Linked DNA regions of Saccharomyces cerevisiae S288C. The protein of the gene in region 3 interacts with the protein of the main gene of each other region in a biochemical or structural test. Each region holds a gene or a part of one and is shown on either strand. Other genes may lie near its edges.

Region 1 (5,147 bases), on a different chromosome or scaffold from region 3:
ATAACTGCAATCTTTCCTTATCCTTGGCATTAGTTAAGGCGACTATTTTACCTTGTGGTACTATATTATACGGATTATTCATTGAAAAACCAGCGGTTTCCAACATTCTGACTATGTCCCCTTTGGTCACGTTTCTGTCATTTAATTGATAGTCATCCTTCTTCAGCCCTACTGTTCTTCTAATGGTCACTTCGTCATCTCCTCTCGAAAGTACACCGGAGGGCAATATCATAGAATGATCTGGATCGTGGAACACAATTTCTACCGAGGCACTCATCACTGAACCACCAGAACCTTGGTGGATAAGCCCTTGCCTTTCTTCCCTCTTAAGATTAGAGTAATCGTCACTAAGAACAAATCTAATCGCAGCGAAGAAATTCGATTTACCTGAACCATTGGAGCCAATAATAACATTCTGATGCGGCGAGAAATTATCAATAATGGTTTCGTTCCTGTAGGTTTTAAAACCCTTAATTATCACCCTTTTGATATACATTGCAGACGTGAACTATTACCGTTACTCCAGCAGGTCGTCTTGTAAAAAAATGGTGAAACTGTTTAAAGATGAGGTTGAAAACTCATCTTTAATTAGTTTAATCATTTCCTAACGCGTCGCGTCTTTTCCTATTCCTGAGACTTTTTTTCTTTAGGTTCCTAATAGTGAAATGTGACAGGTGTACACTTCGATGGCAGGCAAAAATAGAGCCAAAACTGCTTATAAGTTATTCCAAGTGAAAGGAGTTGGTTGCGAGAAGGGCCCAGAAGGTTTCATTCATTGTTGGTTTAGTGTATTACTAAGGCCGATCTTAACGTCTACGAAACGAAGTATGATACTGATCTCGGGATACTGTCTTTTAGTGTATAGCGTTATTTTGCCAGTACTGATATCGGCTTCTAAGTTATGTGATTTGGCTGAGTTACAACGATTGAACAAGAATTTAAAAGTAGACACTGAATCCTTGCCAAAATACCAATGGATCGCTGGGCAGTTGGAACAAAACTGCATGACTGCGGATCCAGCAAGTGAAAATATGTCAGACGTAATTCAACTAGCCAATCAAATATACTACAAAATTGGGCTGATCCAATTATCCAACGATCAACATCTAAGAGCTATTAACACATTTGAAAAAATCGTTTTTAATGAAACTTACAAAGGTTCTTTTGGGAAGCTGGCGGAAAAGAGGCTACAAGAGCTGTATGTCGATTTTGGGATGTGGGACAAGGTGCATCAGAAGGATGATCAGTATGCGAAATATCTGTCCTTGAATGAAACCATCAGAAACAAAATATCATCCAAAGACGTTTCTGTGGAGGAAGATATTTCTGAGCTGCTACGCATAACGCCGTACGATGTTAACGTCCTCTCCACGCACATCGATGTTCTTTTTCACAAACTAGCTGAAGAAATTGACGTTTCGTTAGCTGCTGCTATCATTTTGGATTACGAAACAATCCTCGACAAGCATTTGGCTAGCTTAAGCATAGATACAAGACTTTCGATTCATTATGTCATATCTGTTTTACAGACCTTTGTACTTAACTCAGATGCGTCGTTCAATATAAGAAAATGCCTTTCCATTGATATGGACTATGATAAATGTAAAAAACTAAGCCTGACTATTTCCAAATTGAACAAGGTGAATCCATCAAAAAGACAGATCCTGGATCCAGCAACATATGCATTTGAGAACAAAAAGTTTAGAAGTTGGGATAGAATTATTGAATTTTATTTGAAGGATAAGAAGCCATTTATTACACCAATGAAAATTCTTAACAAAGATACAAACTTTAAAAACAACTACTTCTTTTTAGAGGAAATTATCAAACAATTGATAGAAGACGTTCAACTGTCGAGACCTTTGGCAAAAAATTTATTCGAAGATCCCCCAATAACCGATGGTTTTGTCAAACCAAAATCATACTATCATACCGATTATCTAGTATACATTGATTCCATTCTTTGTCAGGCTTCTAGCATGAGTCCGGACGTCAAGAGAGCTAAACTGGCTGCGCCGTTCTGTAAAAAGAGTTTGAGGCATTCACTAACACTAGAAACATGGAAACACTATCAGGATGCTAAGTCCGAGCAAAAACCTTTACCTGAGACGGTATTGAGTGATGTATGGAATTCCAATCCTCATTTGCTGATGTATATGGTAAACTCAATACTTAATAAAAGTAGGTCTAAACCTCATTCACAGTTCAAAAAGCAATTATATGACCAGATAAACAAATTTTTCCAAGATAACGGCCTCTCAGAGTCGACCAATCCATACGTGATGAAGAACTTCCGATTATTACAGAAACAATTACAAACCTATAAAGAGCATAAACATCGGAATTTCAACCAGCAATATTTCCAACAACAACAACAGCAGCAACAACACCAACGACATCAAGCACCCCCAGCAGCGCCTAACTACGACCCAAAAAAGGACTATTATAAAATTCTTGGAGTATCGCCTAGTGCTAGTTCGAAAGAAATAAGGAAAGCATATTTAAATTTAACCAAAAAATACCACCCAGACAAAATAAAGGCCAACCATAACGACAAACAAGAATCAATTCACGAAACTATGTCACAAATCAATGAAGCGTACGAAACATTAAGTGATGACGATAAAAGGAAGGAATACGATCTTTCCAGATCAAACCCCCGCCGCAACACTTTTCCTCAGGGGCCTAGGCAAAATAACATGTTCAAAAATCCAGGAAGTGGCTTCCCATTCGGAAATGGCTTTAAAATGAATTTTGGGCTTTGATGAAATACATTCTATGCCCATTAACTAGGATACCACAACAAGTACATATATATACATACGCATATCACTGAAAGTTCTAATTATTGCAAAGCCAGCACTTTTTTAAATATTGAATTCTTCTTCATCATTTTCAGTACCAGCGGTAAGAGATGCTGTGTGAATTTCTCGCAGTTTATCCATGATTTCAGTAATGAACGGCCTCAACTCATTGATTTCTAATAGACTTAAATTATCCAATTGTAAATGAGATTCATTCAAATACTTAAGGCCTTTTAACACTTTGATCTGCCTTATTTCCCTTAAGTCTTGTATTTTACCACGTAATTCGTGAATGGGGTCATGAAAATCATCCTTAGCTTTATTGAAAAGTATACGTGCCAAGACAAGCCAGTTCCACGGCAACTCACTAAACCTATCCGGATGAGTTTTCTCATATTGTATTTTTCTATCAAGCTCTTTCGTCGTTAACCACTGTGGTGCTACAATACTGCACTTGGATTGTTGCTTCAGTAATAGAGCGATCCAAAGAACCACTTCTGTAGAACGCATGGCTACCATATTATTTAAAGCTTTGTCATCTGTAGTAATAAGTTGCCAGCGGGTGTGGTTTCCAGTTCCTCTATCATCGCCACGAATTTTTTGGCGTGTTGTTATTCTGGGAAAAATCTTTATTGGCTCGTTTTCCACAATGAACTGTATTTCTTCTGGTGAGAAAGTCTGCTGCAAATGTGCCGGTAGTGACATGCGTCTATGAAACTAGTCTTATTTCAGATCAGCCGTTGATCCTCTCTAAGTATAAAACTCTTTTTTGTTAACCATTTCATAGTTACACTTTAGGCGACTGATTTTTCATTAAATGGAAAATATCACAAGAAATTTCACGCTGGAGAAAAAAAAGGTTAGTCATCACTGATCTTCCCATGGAGTCATAAGCACGTTCGACATAAATTGTGAAAGTTAACACATTTGAAGCTAGGACCGTCAATCTAGGACACTAGTCGGTTACTTTTATCATGTGGAGGAGAATATTCGCGCATGAACTCAAGTATGATCAACCCAATGCATCTTCAAAAAACTTGATCCTTTCAGTTCTGAATACAACCGCTACAAAACGAGAGGCTAAGGATTATCTCTCAAAATATACAAATGATAGTGGGCAGCATAATCATTGTTTGTTTTTTATCAGGGACCTGCATAAAGTCGCACCAGCGATTTTGTCCCAGTTTTCAAGTGTCATAAAGAGACTAGGAATGCTAGGTTTGCGACCTATGTTTGTAATTCCGCCGTCGCCAACTCATGTAAATATACAGGCAGAGTTACTTGACAGTATCGTTACAGAAGCAGATTTAAAGCCACTTCACCTTAAGGAGGGTCTTACTAAATCCCGCACTGGGTTATATCATTCTGTTTTTTCGCAAGAGAGTCGTTTCTTTGATATTGGAAATTCCAATTTTATACCAATTGTGAAACCTTATGTGTATAATGAAGAGACTGCTTCAGAATTCATGACAAAGGATGTTGTAAAATTTATGGATTGCCTGTGCCAAGGGAATATTCCACACATTGACAAATTCTTCATTCTAAATAATGCCGGAGGTATACCTTCGGGAGAGAGAAATGATAACGCTCATGTATTCATCAATCTTTCTCAGGAACTCGAGCATTTGTCCTCGTCATTATCTCACAATATAAGCACTCTAACCAAACGAGAGCCACGCTCCCAAAACCTGTTACACAGAATGGAGGTGTACGTTAAAAAAGATGAGATATCTTCCTTAGAATGTGAATACCATGATCATTTAGAAAACCTGTTATTGATGGACAAAGTTTTATCAAATCTAGCGGCTACAGCAACGGGACTGATTACAACTGTCAAAGCTGCCGCACTATCATCAGATAGGAAAAATCCTTTAGTATATAATTTATTGACAGACCGATCGCTAATTTCTTCTTCTTTACCAAGGTTTAAAAAAAAGGACGGCGAGATAGACTCACCAGCCAACATGTTTGATGATCACGCATGGTATGAATTGCCTTCCCAACAGGTAAATGCAGCTCCTTCTAACTCAGATGCAGTTTTAGTGACAACTGTTCTCAAAAAGGGCGTCCATATCAAAACTTATGACTATAAGACGCTGACTCAATTCAACTCAATTGGGCTTCCAAAGAAGTTTCACGTACCTGAGAAAGGAGCAAAACCCTCGAGCAATAGTCCAAAACTAGATATCAACAAATTTAAATCCATCATCGATCAGAGCTTTAAAAGATCTTTGGATTTGCATGACTACATAAAAAGGATTAATGGAAAAATAGCTACAATTATTGTGATAGGTGATTATGAAGGCATTGCAATTCTTACCTATGAAGGCTCGGAGGAAAATT
Region 2 (6,288 bases), on a different chromosome or scaffold from region 3:
GGAGGGCGTGAATGTAAGCGTGACATAACTAATTACATGATATCGACAAAGGAAAAGGGGCCTGTTTACTCACAGGCTTTTTTCAAGTAGGTAATTAAGTCGTTTCTGTCTTTTTCCTTCTTCAACCCACCAAAGGCCATCTTGGTACCAGGAATATATTTCTTTGGGTTAGTCAAGTACTCTGACATGTTATTTTCGTCCCACAACACGTTTTTCTTGATATTGGCATCTGTGTACGAATACCCTTCAGCTTGACCAGAGTGTCTGCCAAAGATACCATGCAAGTTTGGACCAACCTTATGTGGGCCACCCTTTTCCACGGTGTGGCATTGTAGACATCTAGTCTTGAAAAGTGTAGCACCTTTCTTAGCAGAACCGGCCTTGAATTCAGTCATTATTAATTTAGTGTGTGTATTTGTGTTTGTGTGTCTATAGAAGTATAGTAATTTATGCTGCAAAGGTCCTAATGTATAAGGAAAGAATATTTAGAGAAAAGAAGAAAACAAGAGTTTTATATACATACAGAGCACATGCATGCCATATGATCATGTGTCGTCGCACACATATATATATGCCTGTATGTGTCAGCACTAAAGTTGCCTGGCCATCCACGCTATATATACACGCCTGGCGGATCTGCTCGAGGATTGCCTACGCGTGGGCTTGATCCACCAACCAACGCTCGCCAAATGAACTGGCGCTTTGGTCTTCTGCCATCGTCCGTAAACCCCGGCCAAAGAGACCGGAAAGATCGGTGAAAACATCTTGATCTTGCTCCCGGGAATTTTAGATTCAGGTAGGAAATTGATTACATCAATACTGTTACCCTGAATCATATTCGACGATGTCGTCTCACACGGAAATATAATTCATTTCTTGGTTTTCCAAAAAAATTTTCATTTTTTTTCACTTTTTTGTTTCGTCCTCCTTTTTTTTTTTTTTTTTTTATTTTTTTTCCTGTGTTCACCTTTTTTTTTTTCAGTTGACATCTTTCTGCATTCTTTTCTGTGTTTTTTTTTTTTTTTTTCGTTTTTCCATTGTTCGTTCGTTGCCTGTTTTTTCGCCCTATTGTTCTCGAGCCTAAAAATTTTTTCCTTTCCTGCTTTCCTTTCTTCGTTCAAAGTTTCCTATTCCATTGTTCTCTTTGGTAAACTCATTGTTGTCGGAACTCAGATATATTCAGGTCAATTTACTGTACTTCAATTGACTTTTTTCTTGAAATTTCAACTTGCCTTTTCAACTTGTTCTTCTTTTTTAATCTTATTCTACACTTTAGTTCCCTTACCTTGTTCCTAATTATTGTCTAGCAAAAAGAAAACATACACCTATTTCATTCACACACTAAAACATGTCTGACGAAGAACACACCTTTGAAAATGCTGACGCTGGTGCCTCCGCCACCTACCCAATGCAATGTTCTGCCTTGAGAAAGAATGGTTTCGTTGTCATCAAAGGTAGACCATGTAAGATTGTCGACATGTCCACTTCCAAGACCGGTAAGCACGGTCACGCCAAGGTCCATTTGGTTACCCTTGATATCTTCACTGGTAAGAAGTTGGAAGATTTGTCTCCATCCACTCACAACTTGGAAGTTCCATTTGTCAAGAGAAGCGAATACCAATTGTTGGATATTGATGATGGCTACTTGTCCTTGATGACCATGGACGGTGAAACCAAAGACGATGTCAAGGCACCAGAAGGTGAATTGGGTGACAGCATGCAAGCTGCTTTCGATGAAGGTAAGGATTTGATGGTCACTATCATTTCTGCCATGGGTGAAGAAGCTGCCATCTCCTTCAAGGAAGCTCCAAGATCTGATTAGATATTTTAGATTTCTATAGCTTACAAAATACGCGATGTTTTTTTGATCTAGAAATCTTATTTATACATTTTATATAATATTATAATAATCATAATCATAATTATTCATCCTAACTAACTTCGTTCTGTTTCAGCTACGAAGTTGCCTTCATTATCGCTACGTTCGTGTTAATTGGTGTTTGATACCATAGTCACTTATGACGACGTGCAGAACTTTTTTTTTTGACGGATATTTTCCCCTCAATATGCCGAGGATGATTACTTTATAATTTGCCTTCTTTCGGTTCCTTCTTCTTTTTAATTTAGCTGACGGGAACATGTGTATATACCCCAGAAGAATTTAAACAGAAATTTTTTTGAGCATTTTACGAAAATATTAAAAACTAGGGCTACAGATATCAGAGAAAAAATTACTTATATGATGACAATAACTTAATATCACAGTCACTATCGTTCTCGCCTTTATATGCGCAGTGACAGCATTCGACTTTTCCTTGGAAGGGACCCGATCAACGAAACTTCAAAAAGAGTAGAAGTCAAAATATTTTTTGCACGACGAGGGTGACAGACCGTGCTATGTCCACAAATGAGGCCCTGCTTTCCCAAGATAAATTGCGTAAACATATAATTGTTACAAATCCAAGGCTCTGTGATTTCTTCACCAAGTGTAGTTGTGATGTATGATGTGTAGGATAAGTAATGACCGGTAAATCAAGCTGGTAAAAAGTCCTAATAACAAGCCCGAATCTGGAATAATGGTAATATTCCCATGCCAGGTGGACAGTGTTGTCCTTAAACAAACTCAAGAGATTAAAGGCAACTTGGCCGAGTGGTTAAGGCGAAAGATTAGAAATCTTTTGGGCTTTGCCCGCGCAGGTTCGAGTCCTGCAGTTGTCGTTATTTTTTATTTCCCTTTCTTTTCGTACATACACAATGCACAGTCTTCAAAGTAAAATACCAACGTATGTATCAAGATCAATTTTTTTTCTTTTTTTTTTTTTTTTACCGTAAATGTACGTATTCTACCTTATATCTAAAAATATTCTTCAATCTTGTTGTTTTGATTTGTGGATTTGCAACAGCTTAGAAAATCTGTTTTTATCCAAACTGTTCCATCTATAAACTTTTAACCCACCATCCACTTGATGAACAGATATGTCCATTGGTAGGATACCTTGTAGCCCAGCTAAAATTTCACTTGCTTCTTTTGTACCGATAGGATTATTACTATCTTGTAAACTATCTACGATTAGCGAGCTTAGATATGTCTCTGTATAAGGCTGGCCCCTGGTCAGCGAAAAAAGAATATCAAATACCTGAGTCATTTTCATCGCTAGAAACTGCTGGTAACGTTTTTGCCTTTGAGAAAGCAATGCGGCCGAACGTCTCTCTCTTTCACGCAGTCTGTCCATAAGGTTTGCTTGCGAATCAGGCATCTTCTCTTTGTACATGAAATTTTCCTTACTATTCGCCAAATATCTTGAGTTATTCAAGGCATTAGCATTAGAGCTCTTCGTTTGCACTTTACTGCTCAAGACTGTTTTAGAATTAGAGCTGGACCTTCTTTTATTTATTTTGAAAGCGGGTACATCAGTCATAATCTCATCCTTGGAAGCTATCACTTGTTGGTACCACGACTCTGCCCTTTCCACGAATGCCAAAGTCCTAGACTTATTGGTCAACGTTGTTAGATTGTCTCTTTTGGGTAGATTCATGGTCAGCTCCCCTCTAGAGTTCAGTTCCACTACGTATGCATCAGACCAAATGGTCAATAACTTCAAAATATCATCCTGCACTATTTTCCTTTTCATCATGCTGGATATCTGGGGTAACAAAACGTGCAGCTCTGGTGGGACGCCCGTGGATCTGGAAAGAGCGTTTAAAGACAATACAGTCTCGCAAACAGTAAACAACTCCTTAACAAACTTCATTGCGTCTTGGAGTCTTAGAATACTAAGCTCCCGTGGGTAGTATTGCTGAGCGACTTTTGGGAAAGCCTTAATTTGTTGCTCCAACAAATGATTGGCAATCGTACCCTCTCCTTTACTCGAGATTGGCGTAGTAAGTGGAGGCCAGATGGTCAACGAAACAATGTTCGCACGAGGATCTATCTGGAGTGGTGAGGTAGTGTGCATACCTTGAGACCAGCGCGCAAGGAGGGTCCCCGTGTGGAACAGAAGACAATCGGGTTCATCAATACTCACCCAAGAATTGTCCGTCGTCGCCATAGTCGATGGCTTGTACCTTATAGCCTTGGCACAGGGGAAGATGGTCAACACGCCCGTCGGAAGAAAAGTAACATAGTCCCTTTCAAACAGGTACTGGAAATCGTCGCCAGTGGGCAGCACGGTAGCACCTGCATCTGCACCATCGTGTGTACTACCATTATCATTGAAATAACGGGTCAGCTTAGTCGCATAATGAGAGGTGCTGATACAGTCTTGCAATTCTGCGCTAGAAACCACACTTTTCACACACAGTTGGGCGAAAAACAGACCCAGTTTGAACAGCCTACTATATATGGAGCACAGTGACTCATTCCTGCACTTCCGATCGAAGCGTAATTGAGGATCAGTGTCAAATATGTACTGCTCCAGCCAAACATCATCTTCTAGCGGTAATGTACCCGTAAAGTTCGCATCAAAACCTTGACTCGTGTCAGGCAGGTCCTTTGTCGTGAGCCCCGCTAGTAGTGCATCTAGAACAGCCTTGTTAGCATAATTTTTTAACAGAAAGGTGTCATGCTGTAGCAAAATTGCCCTCACCACCGGCAACAGCTGCTCTTCATCTGAAACTCTATTCAAATCTATCACAGGCACGCGCAAAACCTCCTTCCTCCTACTATTAGCTGTGCCACTCATAAATCACGACGCTACGTAGTTCAGCTCACTGTCATGATACCAACTACCGCAACTAACATCTGCTTATATTAAACTCTTCCGCATCATCGCAATGGTACAATGTGCTAAAGCTAGTGCCTTAGATGCGCTGAATAATTGTATATCACCCACAACGGCAGAGCTTTTCCATGGGCTTCGGCCCGGTTCCACCGCCCCCTGCCTCTTTTTCCGGTGACCGCTTACGGTGCGGTGTATAAAAACGAACGATCCAACGCCGGCTCGACGCTTGGGAACTTTTGGGTTCTTTGTTCCACGTTTGAAAACTCCATACGTTGCTGTCCTCCTCTGCCTGCTGTACATATCGACGCCCCGCTGCTCACCAACCTTTGCCAGAGTGACAACTTTTGTATTTACGACCCATTTAATATAATTAAGACTACACAAATCTCATATTATACGCACCAAGATGCTTGCTGCTAAAAACATACTAAACAGGTCAAGCTTGTCTAGCTCTTTCCGTATTGCCACACGTTTGCAGTCAACCAAGGTTCAAGGTTCCGTCATCGGTATCGATTTGGGTACCACCAACTCTGCGGTTGCCATTATGGAAGGTAAAGTTCCAAAAATTATTGAAAACGCCGAAGGTTCCAGAACTACTCCTTCTGTAGTAGCTTTCACTAAAGAGGGAGAACGTTTGGTTGGTATTCCAGCCAAGCGTCAAGCCGTAGTGAACCCAGAAAACACCCTATTTGCTACCAAGCGTTTGATTGGTCGTCGTTTCGAAGACGCTGAAGTGCAAAGAGATATCAAGCAAGTTCCATACAAGATCGTCAAGCACTCCAACGGGGATGCTTGGGTTGAGGCCAGAGGTCAAACTTACTCACCAGCCCAAATCGGTGGGTTCGTCTTGAACAAGATGAAGGAAACAGCTGAGGCCTACTTGGGTAAGCCAGTTAAGAATGCTGTTGTCACTGTCCCAGCTTATTTCAACGACTCTCAAAGACAAGCTACTAAAGACGCAGGCCAAATTGTTGGTTTGAACGTTTTACGTGTCGTCAATGAACCAACCGCCGCTGCCTTAGCTTACGGTTTGGAAAAATCCGACTCTAAAGTTGTTGCCGTTTTCGATTTGGGTGGTGGTACTTTCGATATCTCCATCTTAGATATTGACAACGGTGTTTTTGAAGTTAAGTCCACTAACGGTGACACTCATTTGGGTGGTGAAGATTTCGACATCTATTTGTTGAGAGAGATTGTTTCTCGTTTCAAGACCGAAACTGGTATTGATTTGGAAAATGACCGTATGGCTATCCAAAGAATTAGAGAAGCTGCTGAAAAGGCTAAGATTGAGCTATCTTCTACCGTTTCCACTGAAATCAACCTGCCATTTATCACTGCTGATGCCTCAGGTCCAAAGCATATCAACATGAAGTTCTCCAGGGCTCAATTCGAGACTTTGACAGCCCCACTAGTTAAGAGAACTGTCGACCCAGTCAAGAAGGCTTTGAAAGACGCCGGTTTGTCTACTTCAGACATATCTGAAGTCTTATTGGTCGGTGGTATGTCCAGAATGCCTAAGGTTGTCGAAACCGTTAAATCTTTGTTTGGTAAGGACCCATCTAAGGCC
Region 3 (9,706 bases):
TTACGTTGTTTTCTTCGAAAAGTTTCAAGAGGACGCGCCATTCTTTTAACCCGGCAATTTTAAAGGGTTCATTAATAAAGAACTACCAAGATGGTACAGTCGCATTTGGATCGTAACTCAACGTTAGAAGAAAGCCTTAAACCGAGAACTTTTTCTCTTGGTAATGAATATGGCAGAACGTGCAGAAGCAACAAAAAGTTGGTCCTGTGAGCCCCTTTCTGGAAAGACGCTAGAAGAGATTGTTCAAAATGCAGAAAATGCAGCTGATTTGGTAGCTTACATTCGCAAACCAGAGGTAGATTTGGACTTTAGGTTGAAGTTTATCGCAGAACATGAGGAGTTTTTTAATGTACAACTATCGGATCGAAATTCAAGAATAAGGACGTGTCACAACTTGAGCGATAAAGGGATACGGGGTGATACTGTTTTCGTCTTCGTGCCTGGGTTGGCTGGCAACTTAGAACAATTTGAACCCTTACTCGAGCTTGTGGACTCTGATCAAAAGGCATTTTTGACGTTAGATCTGCCCGGCTTTGGTCATAGTTCAGAATGGAGCGACTACCCCATGCTGAAAGTGGTGGAACTTATTTTCGTTCTTGTATGTGACGTCTTAAGAAAATGGTCTACAGCGGTGCCGAATAATGATAACGTAAATCCATTTAACGGTCATAAGATAGTGCTTGTAGGGCATTCTATGGGTTGTTTTCTGGCATGTCATCTTTACGAGCAGCACATGGCTGATACAAAAGCGGTACAAACGCTAGTTTTGTTGACGCCCCCCAAAGCACATATCGAGCAGCTTTCTAAGGATAAACATATTATCCAGTGGGCTCTCTATGGTGTGTTTAAATTGCCATGGCTATTTGACGTTTATAGAAACAAATTCGATCAGGTAAAAGGTCTACAAAGTTCCGGCATCAAGCAGTATTTTTATCAACAAGGTGATGATGTCAAGTTGAAATACAGGAAGTTCTGGCAATTTAAAAACAACATAAGCAACAAAAGTAGAACCATCATAGGTTATTTACTAGGATGGGAAACTGTTGATTGGGTTAAATTCAATGGTGTATTGACGCAAACGGATATGAAACAGAAAATTATAATATTTGGCGCTGAAAAAGATCCTATAGCTCCTATTGAAAATTTGGAATTTTACAAACAAACTATAAATAAAGAATGTCTTCGTAAAGTGATTATTTTACCTGACTGTTCTCATAATTTATGCTTCGACCGTCCAGAATTGGTGTGTGAAAACTTTCAACGAGAGGTGATTGATAATTCCAAATTGTAGAAGGTTTTCTAGATTTCACATTGCGTAACTAGATTTTCGTGCACACTGCTACATGAATTGATAAAACAAACCAGAAAAAGTAACTAAGACCAATATTTTCAAATTTTTCATAGTATACTTTATATCGTACATCTTACAAGCAAAAATCAAAGGTAGTGTCTATGTATGCAAAAAAATAGGAAACGAAAAATAAATATAAATAAATAAAGCCATGAAATGTAGAAAGGCTATGCAAAAAAGAAAAAAATAAACATCAATAATATTTGGCCAAATAAATTAACAGAACGTATGCTGTTAAAAGAGAGCAGTCGTTATATGATGCTTTCAGCATAGTAGTTATTTTCGCCAACATTTCTCCTTAGATCAACTCTCCTCAACTCCTTTAACCTACTAATCAAATTGTGTGTAATACTGTCTATTCTCAAAGTTGGTTTTCCAACTTTCATTTTGTCCATATCAATGTCATCATCCACACATAATTTAACCACTAAAGAAACATAATCTTTGGAAACTTTTGTGAGCCAAAATGAAGTTGGCTTTTCTGTTTTTAATATTGTCAACCTGAATTGTAAAGATTCTGCTTCGAGATTGGAATCAGAAGTAGCATCAGCCTCAGATCCGGCCCCATATCTAATATCAAATAAGTTTGATATTTCGAGAATATCCGGGTCTCGGCAACAATAGTTTTTTATATATAGCTTTTCGGACTTGATATTAAAAAGCTCTTCTAATCCTAAATCATCTAAATTTGAAAGATGATCCATAACCATCAATGCGACAAATTCATGCAATTTGGCATTACAAGCCCAGGAAAAATTTCTATCCAAGCCAGAGTCCCGGAAACTGAATAAGTGTCTTTCATAAGAGTTGTTTTCCATGGATTTATAATCCAAATGCTGGCGAAACGTCCTCATTACAAAATACTTTACCATATATTGCCTGCACCACACAATGTCATTCATTTTCACCTTAGTTAAGGAGCAGTAGCCACCTTTTTCTTCATTTCTATTGCAGATCATTTCAAAAATTTCAAAAGGGTTTAGCTTCTTTAATACGACGTTCTTATTGTTCAAGGTATTGTTGCGTCTGTGTTCCTCTCTTGTTTTCGTTTGTGCATCGATTGGAGGTGGGTAATCTGTCCAATTCGCCTGACCTCCAATCCAACTAGATGGATTGGTACCTAGGCTTGAAGAACGTGAGTGTTTCTTGCTTAACCCCTCATAATATTCATAACCTTTGCCAGAATCGGTCATATAGACAATTTCTAAATCTTTCTCAGGGCCTGCAGAAACACTAGACTCCTGGACAGCGGGCAACAGTGAAGATGTCATCCTTCTTCTTTCGGATCTTTGGTTGATTAATTTGAAATCGGTACAAATAACTAAATTGGAAAGGTTTAGTTCAACAAGGTTAGGACACAGGTTCAGCATATGTAAAATATAACCTAGGGGCAGATCTTTATAAGGAGCGTACTTTAAAAGAAATTTGTTGGCATACGGATGATGCGTACTAAATGGTTGTTCAATGCTAAATTTTAATGTCGAAGAACGATAATTGGATGGATGCCCCGAATCGTGCTTTAAAACTTTAAAGTCATCGTCAGACTTATCCTTCGAGTTCTTTAAATTAATCGTATTAGCTGTCCTTGCCTTTCTATTTCTTGAACTTAACCTCATTCTAAACCAGGAAGATGACGTAATGTCAGATATAGGTTTTGCTTTCTGAGGAGATGACCTTGTGGACTTCGCAGAAGCTTTTTTCAATGATCCAGCAGTGGAAACTCTTGACAGATTACTACCAGAAGAGATGTTACCATTGCTGGTATTAGACGTGGTTGAAGACAATGAGACATGGGAGGTGTTATAGATGGATGACATGATACTCGTCGTTATGGAAGCAACGGAACTATTGGAACGTTGTCTCCTTGTAGAGTGAACACCGGTGGAATTTCCAGAAGATGTAGAAGTGATAGAAGAAGAACGAGAAACCACTTTTTTCAGTTTAAAGCTGTTCAACAGAGGAGAGCTATAAAGGGGTTCATTTCTGTATCTCCAGTCTCTCCAACCAGCTAATGCCAAGTCTTCAACTTCACTGCCATTTGAAGCGTCGTCTTTGATTAATCCGCTATTGGCATCATCCTCGTTAGAAATGGTAGATGTTGGAGTAGCTGGAGGTAGATTCAAACTTGTGTTAGTAGATCTGCGGCGACGGCGTCTGTGACGCCTTGAGTGGCCATCATCGTCTAGGCCTTGAGAATCCTTCGAGTCTTGGCCTATAATTCCCGGCTTCAAGTGTGATAGGTCCAATACTTTCACGTATGCCCCGTTATCCGGATGTAATCTTAGTGAGGTGACAAACTGCGCCACTCTGTAAGTGGAAGTGAAGTAAGGTAGCCTATAAAGGACGATCTTTGTCGCCTTATAAAACTTCTTCGATACGTATAGACATCTTACGAGTGTCTTTTGATCACGACCTAACTCGAATTCAGAAAGTATTTTGGCAATTATTTCAACTGGTAAATCGTTGATATCGGCAAATTTGCCCCAAGCATGGTATTTTCTCTTCCTCAGCTTTTCAAATCTGGAATTTTCATGTTTACCAGAATGGGAAGTCTTCAGAGAAAATATAGAAAATGAGTCGGATGAAGCACCATGATCGTACAATTTATTCATAAATTTTTTTGAAGAGGTGGAGATTAAGGATTTATACTTTTTTTTAATCCTTGATTTCCTTGAATTCATCGTTATGATAGTTTCATTATCTAAAGATGTGACGTCGTCACTGCGTCTCTGACCTATGGAAGCCAAATCATCAGGAGCGCTGGATTGATTTTGATTGCTGAGTGGAGATTTGAACGTCGATAAGGGTGATTGACTCATTGATCTGGAGCAATTTGAGCCATGACGCTGTTTGCTCCTGGACTTTTGTGAGATAGATGACAGTTTACCAACTGTGGTAGAATTCTTACCAGCATTATTGCTACCACTGCCGTTACTATGATACAACTTATCGTAAACGGAAGTTCCGTAACGAGAATAGTTGTTAGAAACAATATTGACGTTTTGAAGTCTTGAAGCACTTGACATCAATACACTCGACCTTGTTTAGTGTACCTTTTTTTCTTTCTCCTTTTCCCCTCTTGCTTCGAGTGTCTATATAGTTCCTCCCCGCAAATATTCTTCAGCTAAAAATACTATCGTCCGGGATTTTCAAGAATAAAAAAATATCTTCAAATATAATCTAGTAAACGGAATAAAATAGGACTACCGTACTGAGCGGACAGGTTTGTAAAGGTTATATTAGTTTGAGAGTGGGACTATATATATATAGACTATATAAATATATATATATATATACTTATATTTTTGACAGTAGGGATGGAGATCGATGAATGTTGCCTTCACATGTTAATGAATGAAAAAAATTTTACTGTCTGCGGGTCCCCTAAAAGTCCTCTTGGCGATAACAGAATGGGTGCCGGCAGGTATCTCAAATTCGGATTATTATCAAGCGCTACGAATTATTCTGAGAACAATCTTTTCATTTTCTGGAAGAACTCCGCACGGTGTACTCTCTGGTATACTCAGGGGCTGACGGTACCCTGTAGCACGGCTCTCCACAGGCACATCTGAGCAATACTAGCTGGCCCTATTCCGCTTGAAGATAATTTTCCTTTCTCCGCAAAAAAAAAAAAACAAGAATTGGGCCGCGGTGCACGGACATGCGCAGTCATAATGTTAAGTCCGAAATGTGTGGGGTCTGTGGCTGGCAAAAGCGATGAATAATATTAGTAAAATTATAATAATACAGAATACATATCTTGAAAACTGGGCCTTGGAAGTAAGTTACAGAAGGTAAATTTGAATGTGCAGCTATATGGAAATGAAAAAAAGGGGGAAAAAGAATAAAGAATGAAGGCCCTGTTGCTTTTTTTTTTAGAACTTTCAAGCGTCTTGTAGATCGATATCAGAATCTTGGGCGCTCACATTAGCGGAAGCGGTCGTTTGTGGTGCGAGTTTAGGCGTGCTCACTAGTGAGTCTTCCTGGTCTGTGTCCATGGTACCGTCATCCACGAATTTCAAAGTGTTACCCTCATTAATTAAATGCCAGACGTTTAAGTAAGAATATTCTTGGATACAGTTGCTTAATTGTAGCATGGTAAACCCTCTTAGTCTTACAGTTTTCACAATATTTTCATATGATAGCGTGTTTTTACCAGTTTCTTGTAACATTTTCTTGATGATCGTAAAGATTTTCGTTGTGGGGCTTTCATCTTCTTTAGATTTGTTGGTTTCTTGATACAATGATTCCTTGGAGACTCGGACCAACCTCAAGGCTTCCTCCACATCATCTATATCCACCATATCAGCCAACCTTAACTTTGCTAGCGCTTGAGATAATCTTATAATACCTAGTAAAGTTCTCGGAGTGGCTTGACCAAAGGAAAATTTGGAATCCATTTCTCTCTTGGAGTCTTGTCTTAATCTGATGTAAGCTTGCACCACATAATCGTTTACAGCTTCACTCATCACTGGCCTCTTTGTCTTAGCATAGGCAATGTACTCTCTCATTTTAGAGGGTTCTACTGGAGTGAAGTCCAAATCCGGTTGTTTATTATGCATATGCACATATGTAACGTGCTCGGCTAATTTTTCGTCGTCATCTCTACTTGGTATATCTAACATTAAGAAGAGAATATCAAATCTGGATAGTAAAGCAGCTGGTAGATTTATATTGTCCAGAGGTGATAATCTAGGATTATATCTACCATACAACGGATTTGCTGCCGCTAAGATTGAGGTTCTGGCGTTCAAAGTTGTATTGATACCCGCCTTGGATATCGAAATTGTTTGTTGTTCCATAACTTCATGGATTGCCGTTCTGTCACTTTCATCCATCTTATCAAATTCATCGATACAACAAATACCGTTATCAGCGAGTACTAAGGCACCACCTTCTAGAATCATTTCATCCGTGACAGGATCTTTCATGACGGCAGCGGTCAGACCAACGCCTGAGGAACCCTTACCAGTGGTATACACTCCTCGAGGTGATATTTTGCAAATGGCCTTCAGCAGTTGAGATTTGGCAACACCGGGATCACCCATCAGACAAACATTGATATCACCTCTGATTTTCATACCGTCACCTACCCTTTTATCAACACCTCCGACAAGTAATAGCAGCAACGCTTTCTTTACGTCCAAGTTACCGTAGATTTCCGGTGCAATAGATTTTGCCAGCCTATTATAAACATCACCAGAGGTGATTAATTCCATAACTCTCTCTTCTACATCAGAAGTCAGACTGAAAGACGCAAATTTCTTCTTGTGTTGACGGACAAACTGTGCCTCTAAATAAGTTTCTGTCAGTAAGCCAGCTTTCAAAGCTTTGAAACCGGTGTAGGGCGCTGGCAAGAATATACCAGTTACATCGACGATATCACCAGGCGATAAAGATCTTACCAGCGTCCCGTTAACGTGGATATTTAGCGACCTAGGAATATGACCCACTGGCACTTGTTGTGATAACTCCTGAATTTTACATTCCTGAAAGGCACTAAATTTGGAAGCTCGTGTACTCATAAACAATTGACCCTTTGTTTGATTTTGGGAACATTCTTCGGAAGTACATTCTGACAACGGAGTAAAAGTACGAGAGTTGACCTCTTGGAAAACTTCGTACCCACATTGATCGCAGGTATATGCGATAACTTCCACAGCTGGTTTGACATCAGAAACTCTGGTGATAATACCTCTGACGGTAATCAATTGGCCTAGGAAGTCACCTTTAATCTGCCTAACAGATAATGGTTTAGAACTAATTGCTTTCTTCCTGTAACGACGAGCACAATTTTGCGATAGAGGCTTAAAATAAAGGAAATAGCGTCTAGTTAAATTAGGAGGAAATAACTCAGTTTCATCCTCGACAACTTCTCTTAACGCATCATTCATGGAAGAGGGTGGATCCATCGTGGTATCCATGAGGTTTTCGCTTCGGATCTCATTGGTCCTGTCCGAGAGCATTCTCTCATTCCTCAGTCTCCTTTGGTTTAAAATAACATCAAGAACGTCGTCCTTGTAGTCAATTTCTTTTGTTGGTAGCGGCATGTTGTTGTCAATGGCACGGCAAAATAATTCAGTGAAGTGATTAGCGTTTTGTTGAATGGCAGACACAAGGTCGTCTGCCTGTGTGCCCTGGAGAAACTTTTCGTTTTGATACTGTAGAATGTCATCTAAATCAATAATCACGGAATTCAGTTCCCTATTAGCCACTTTCTGTAGCATCGCCATGTACTTGGGCCCCTTTTCCAATAGATGTTGTTCGATATTCTCAGCATCCAAATTTTCATCTTCGTTCTCATTTCGTGTTGCATCAGAAGACAACGTATCCTGCTTGAAAGTCACCAAAAAATCGGTGATTTCATTAAAAAGATTATTATAGTCGACAGGAAGCTGAATTGATGGAAGTGCCGCACTCATAATCTGGTCTATCTGTATTGAGTTCTTCCTGCAAGATTCAAGCTAATCTAGGTAGTGATTATATTGCCTTTCTAAATGTAAGTTATTGGTAAAGACGTGTATGTAGCCTGCTACTGTAGTACATCTCGCTCTGGTCCTTTGCTTGTATCTCACTTTCGTGAAAAAAGAAGCAAACCGACTTAATGAATTGCATTTATTTTCCTTATAAGGAAATTTCCTTTCTGGGTAAATTAGTTAAGAAAAATTTTTTCGAGGCCGTGAAAAACGCGAAGGCTTATACAATGTATTATGAGTGAGTAATAAGTAGCATTCAAGGGTAGAAGGGGCCTCGACCTGTTATTGAGAAAATATACAAGAAGCGCTTATTATATTCGAGTAGCGGCTACGTTGACCTAGCAGGTATCCCGTGGGTAATAGTTTAAGTTATGACATTCACACCACTTTAGAATTTACTTACTCTTTTACCCTCTCTGTCTCTCGTAGGGTACATTTCTTTGTGCTTCTATTCTGTTGCTCTCAGACAAATTTGGAAGTTTTACAGTAAATTATTTTTACTCTTTTCCTTGTCGTCGTAATCAGTGAGGTATCCTGCCTGGTACCTTCCCCTCATTTTTGTACGAAGTATAAACAAAAGCACGGAAAAGGGGAAGCTAAGGAAAGTGAACACCTGTGCTTCGCATTGTTTGCTGCGATTAAAAAAGGTAATACAAAGGCAACTTTAAGCTTTTGTACCGTATCGGCCTATCATAATAGAGAGCCCGCGCACTTCCTAAGAAAGGCAGTTCGTTGCAACTCTCCGGTGGTTTCTTCGCCACTGCAAGGAAGACAATAGCTCGAGAAGGTCATTATTGTTGGAAATATGTTAATTACCATAGCAACAGCAAAATATTCCTAATTCTCAGAGTTATATAAGCAGGGTATATAATAGGCCATCTGCAAACGGACACCAAGTTTTTTTTCTTCTTTCCTCTCCTCTCCTCTCTTTTATATTCCACATTTATTCCCTGTGACAAGGCGAAAACCAAGAATTTTTTTGTAATATATAGGAAATATCACAAAAGATCGAGGACTAACAATGCTGGCCATGAAATCATTTTCACAAGTTTCTAAATCATACAAGGCAAGTGCTCCCAGTAAAAAGCTGACGACGTTGTTTTATGTTGCTTACATCACTCTGGGACTAACAACACCTTTCCTTCTACCGGCCCGAATGGCTTCTAAAGACACACACTACTACAAGGACGAATTTTGTTCTCAACGATCATACACCAGGTTTTAGAGTCTTTCGAAAATATGGGTTATCATTAGGGAGAAAATTACCGAGACTTTTTCGGCTACTTATTTATTCTGCATTTATACATTTGAGACAGGTTCTTCATATTATTTTTAGTTTGTGGGATTGCAGTTTTAACTGTACTGTTTTCACATCTTTCATTCATTCTAGTCAACGTTTCATTTATCCTTGGCCTATTTTATATGTAGTTATTTATGCTAAGTATGTTTGTTTATCAAGCGTTCACTTTTGTTATTGGTTTTTGGTAAATAAAAACGGCCTTTCCTTTAGGGTGTTTCAGTGTTGCGGAACCAGTCGTACGGAGATTTACACAAATCGATGCCATAAATCTTCCCTATTATATCATCCATGTAGTAAATTACGTGACCTGGCATGAAATTCATGGCAATTTCTAACCAGCTACGCTTATATACAAAATACATTACTGCATTCATGTAGATTGGGAATATAGATGGTGAAACATCAATGGCACCGAAGAATCGTACGTTCATTTGGTTTCCGTTCTTTTTCAGTTCGTAGTACACGAGATTCTCATGCAATAACACACCGAGTGATGCTGCAGGTTGTTCAATGCTGGTCATCTTTACCAGTATCACCAACAGTAAAAATATTATCCAACAGAATTTTCTTCTCAGATTG

What was found.
Region 1: the proteins of MCM7 (region 3) and PSF2 form a complex in vitro, tested with the Saccharomyces cerevisiae proteins (2 studies listed by BioGRID).
Region 2: the proteins of MCM7 (region 3) and TAH11 form a complex in vitro, tested with the Saccharomyces cerevisiae proteins (2 studies listed by BioGRID).

Annotation. Positions count from the first base shown.
Region 1 is NC_001142.9:302,354-307,500, forward strand, and holds PSF2 (DNA replication protein PSF2), read right to left. Parts: upstream 3,510-5,147; coding exon 2,868-3,509; downstream 1-2,867. Other genes in the region: cohesin subunit SMC3, read right to left, coding at 1-496; JEM1 (Jem1p), read left to right, coding at 828-2,765; ARG2 (acetyl-CoA:L-glutamate N-acetyltransferase), read left to right, coding at 3,779-5,147. UniProt on the Saccharomyces cerevisiae protein: Functions as part of the GINS complex which plays an essential role in the initiation of DNA replication by binding to DNA replication origins and facilitating the assembly of the DNA replication machinery.
Region 2 is NC_001142.9:520,442-526,729, reverse strand, and holds TAH11 (Tah11p), read right to left. Parts: upstream 4,683-6,288; coding exon 2,868-4,682; downstream 1-2,867. Other genes in the region: CYC1 (cytochrome c), read right to left, coding at 66-395; ANB1 (translation elongation factor eIF-5A), read left to right, coding at 1,349-1,822; Hsp70 family ATPase SSC1, read left to right, coding at 5,128-6,288. UniProt on the Saccharomyces cerevisiae protein: DNA replication licensing factor, required for pre-replication complex assembly. Faithful duplication of the genetic material requires 'once per cell cycle' DNA replication initiation and elongation.
Region 3 is NC_001134.8:623,839-633,544, reverse strand, and holds MCM7 (DNA replication licensing factor MCM7), read right to left. Parts: upstream 7,774-9,706; coding exon 5,236-7,773; downstream 1-5,235. Other genes in the region: LDH1 (triacylglycerol lipase), read left to right, coding at 164-1,291; COS111 (Cos111p), read right to left, coding at 1,603-4,377; MIN7 (Min7p), read left to right, coding at 8,849-9,052; DER1 (derlin), read right to left, coding at 9,334-9,706. UniProt on the Saccharomyces cerevisiae protein: Acts as a component of the MCM2-7 complex (MCM complex) which is the putative replicative helicase essential for 'once per cell cycle' DNA replication initiation and elongation in eukaryotic cells.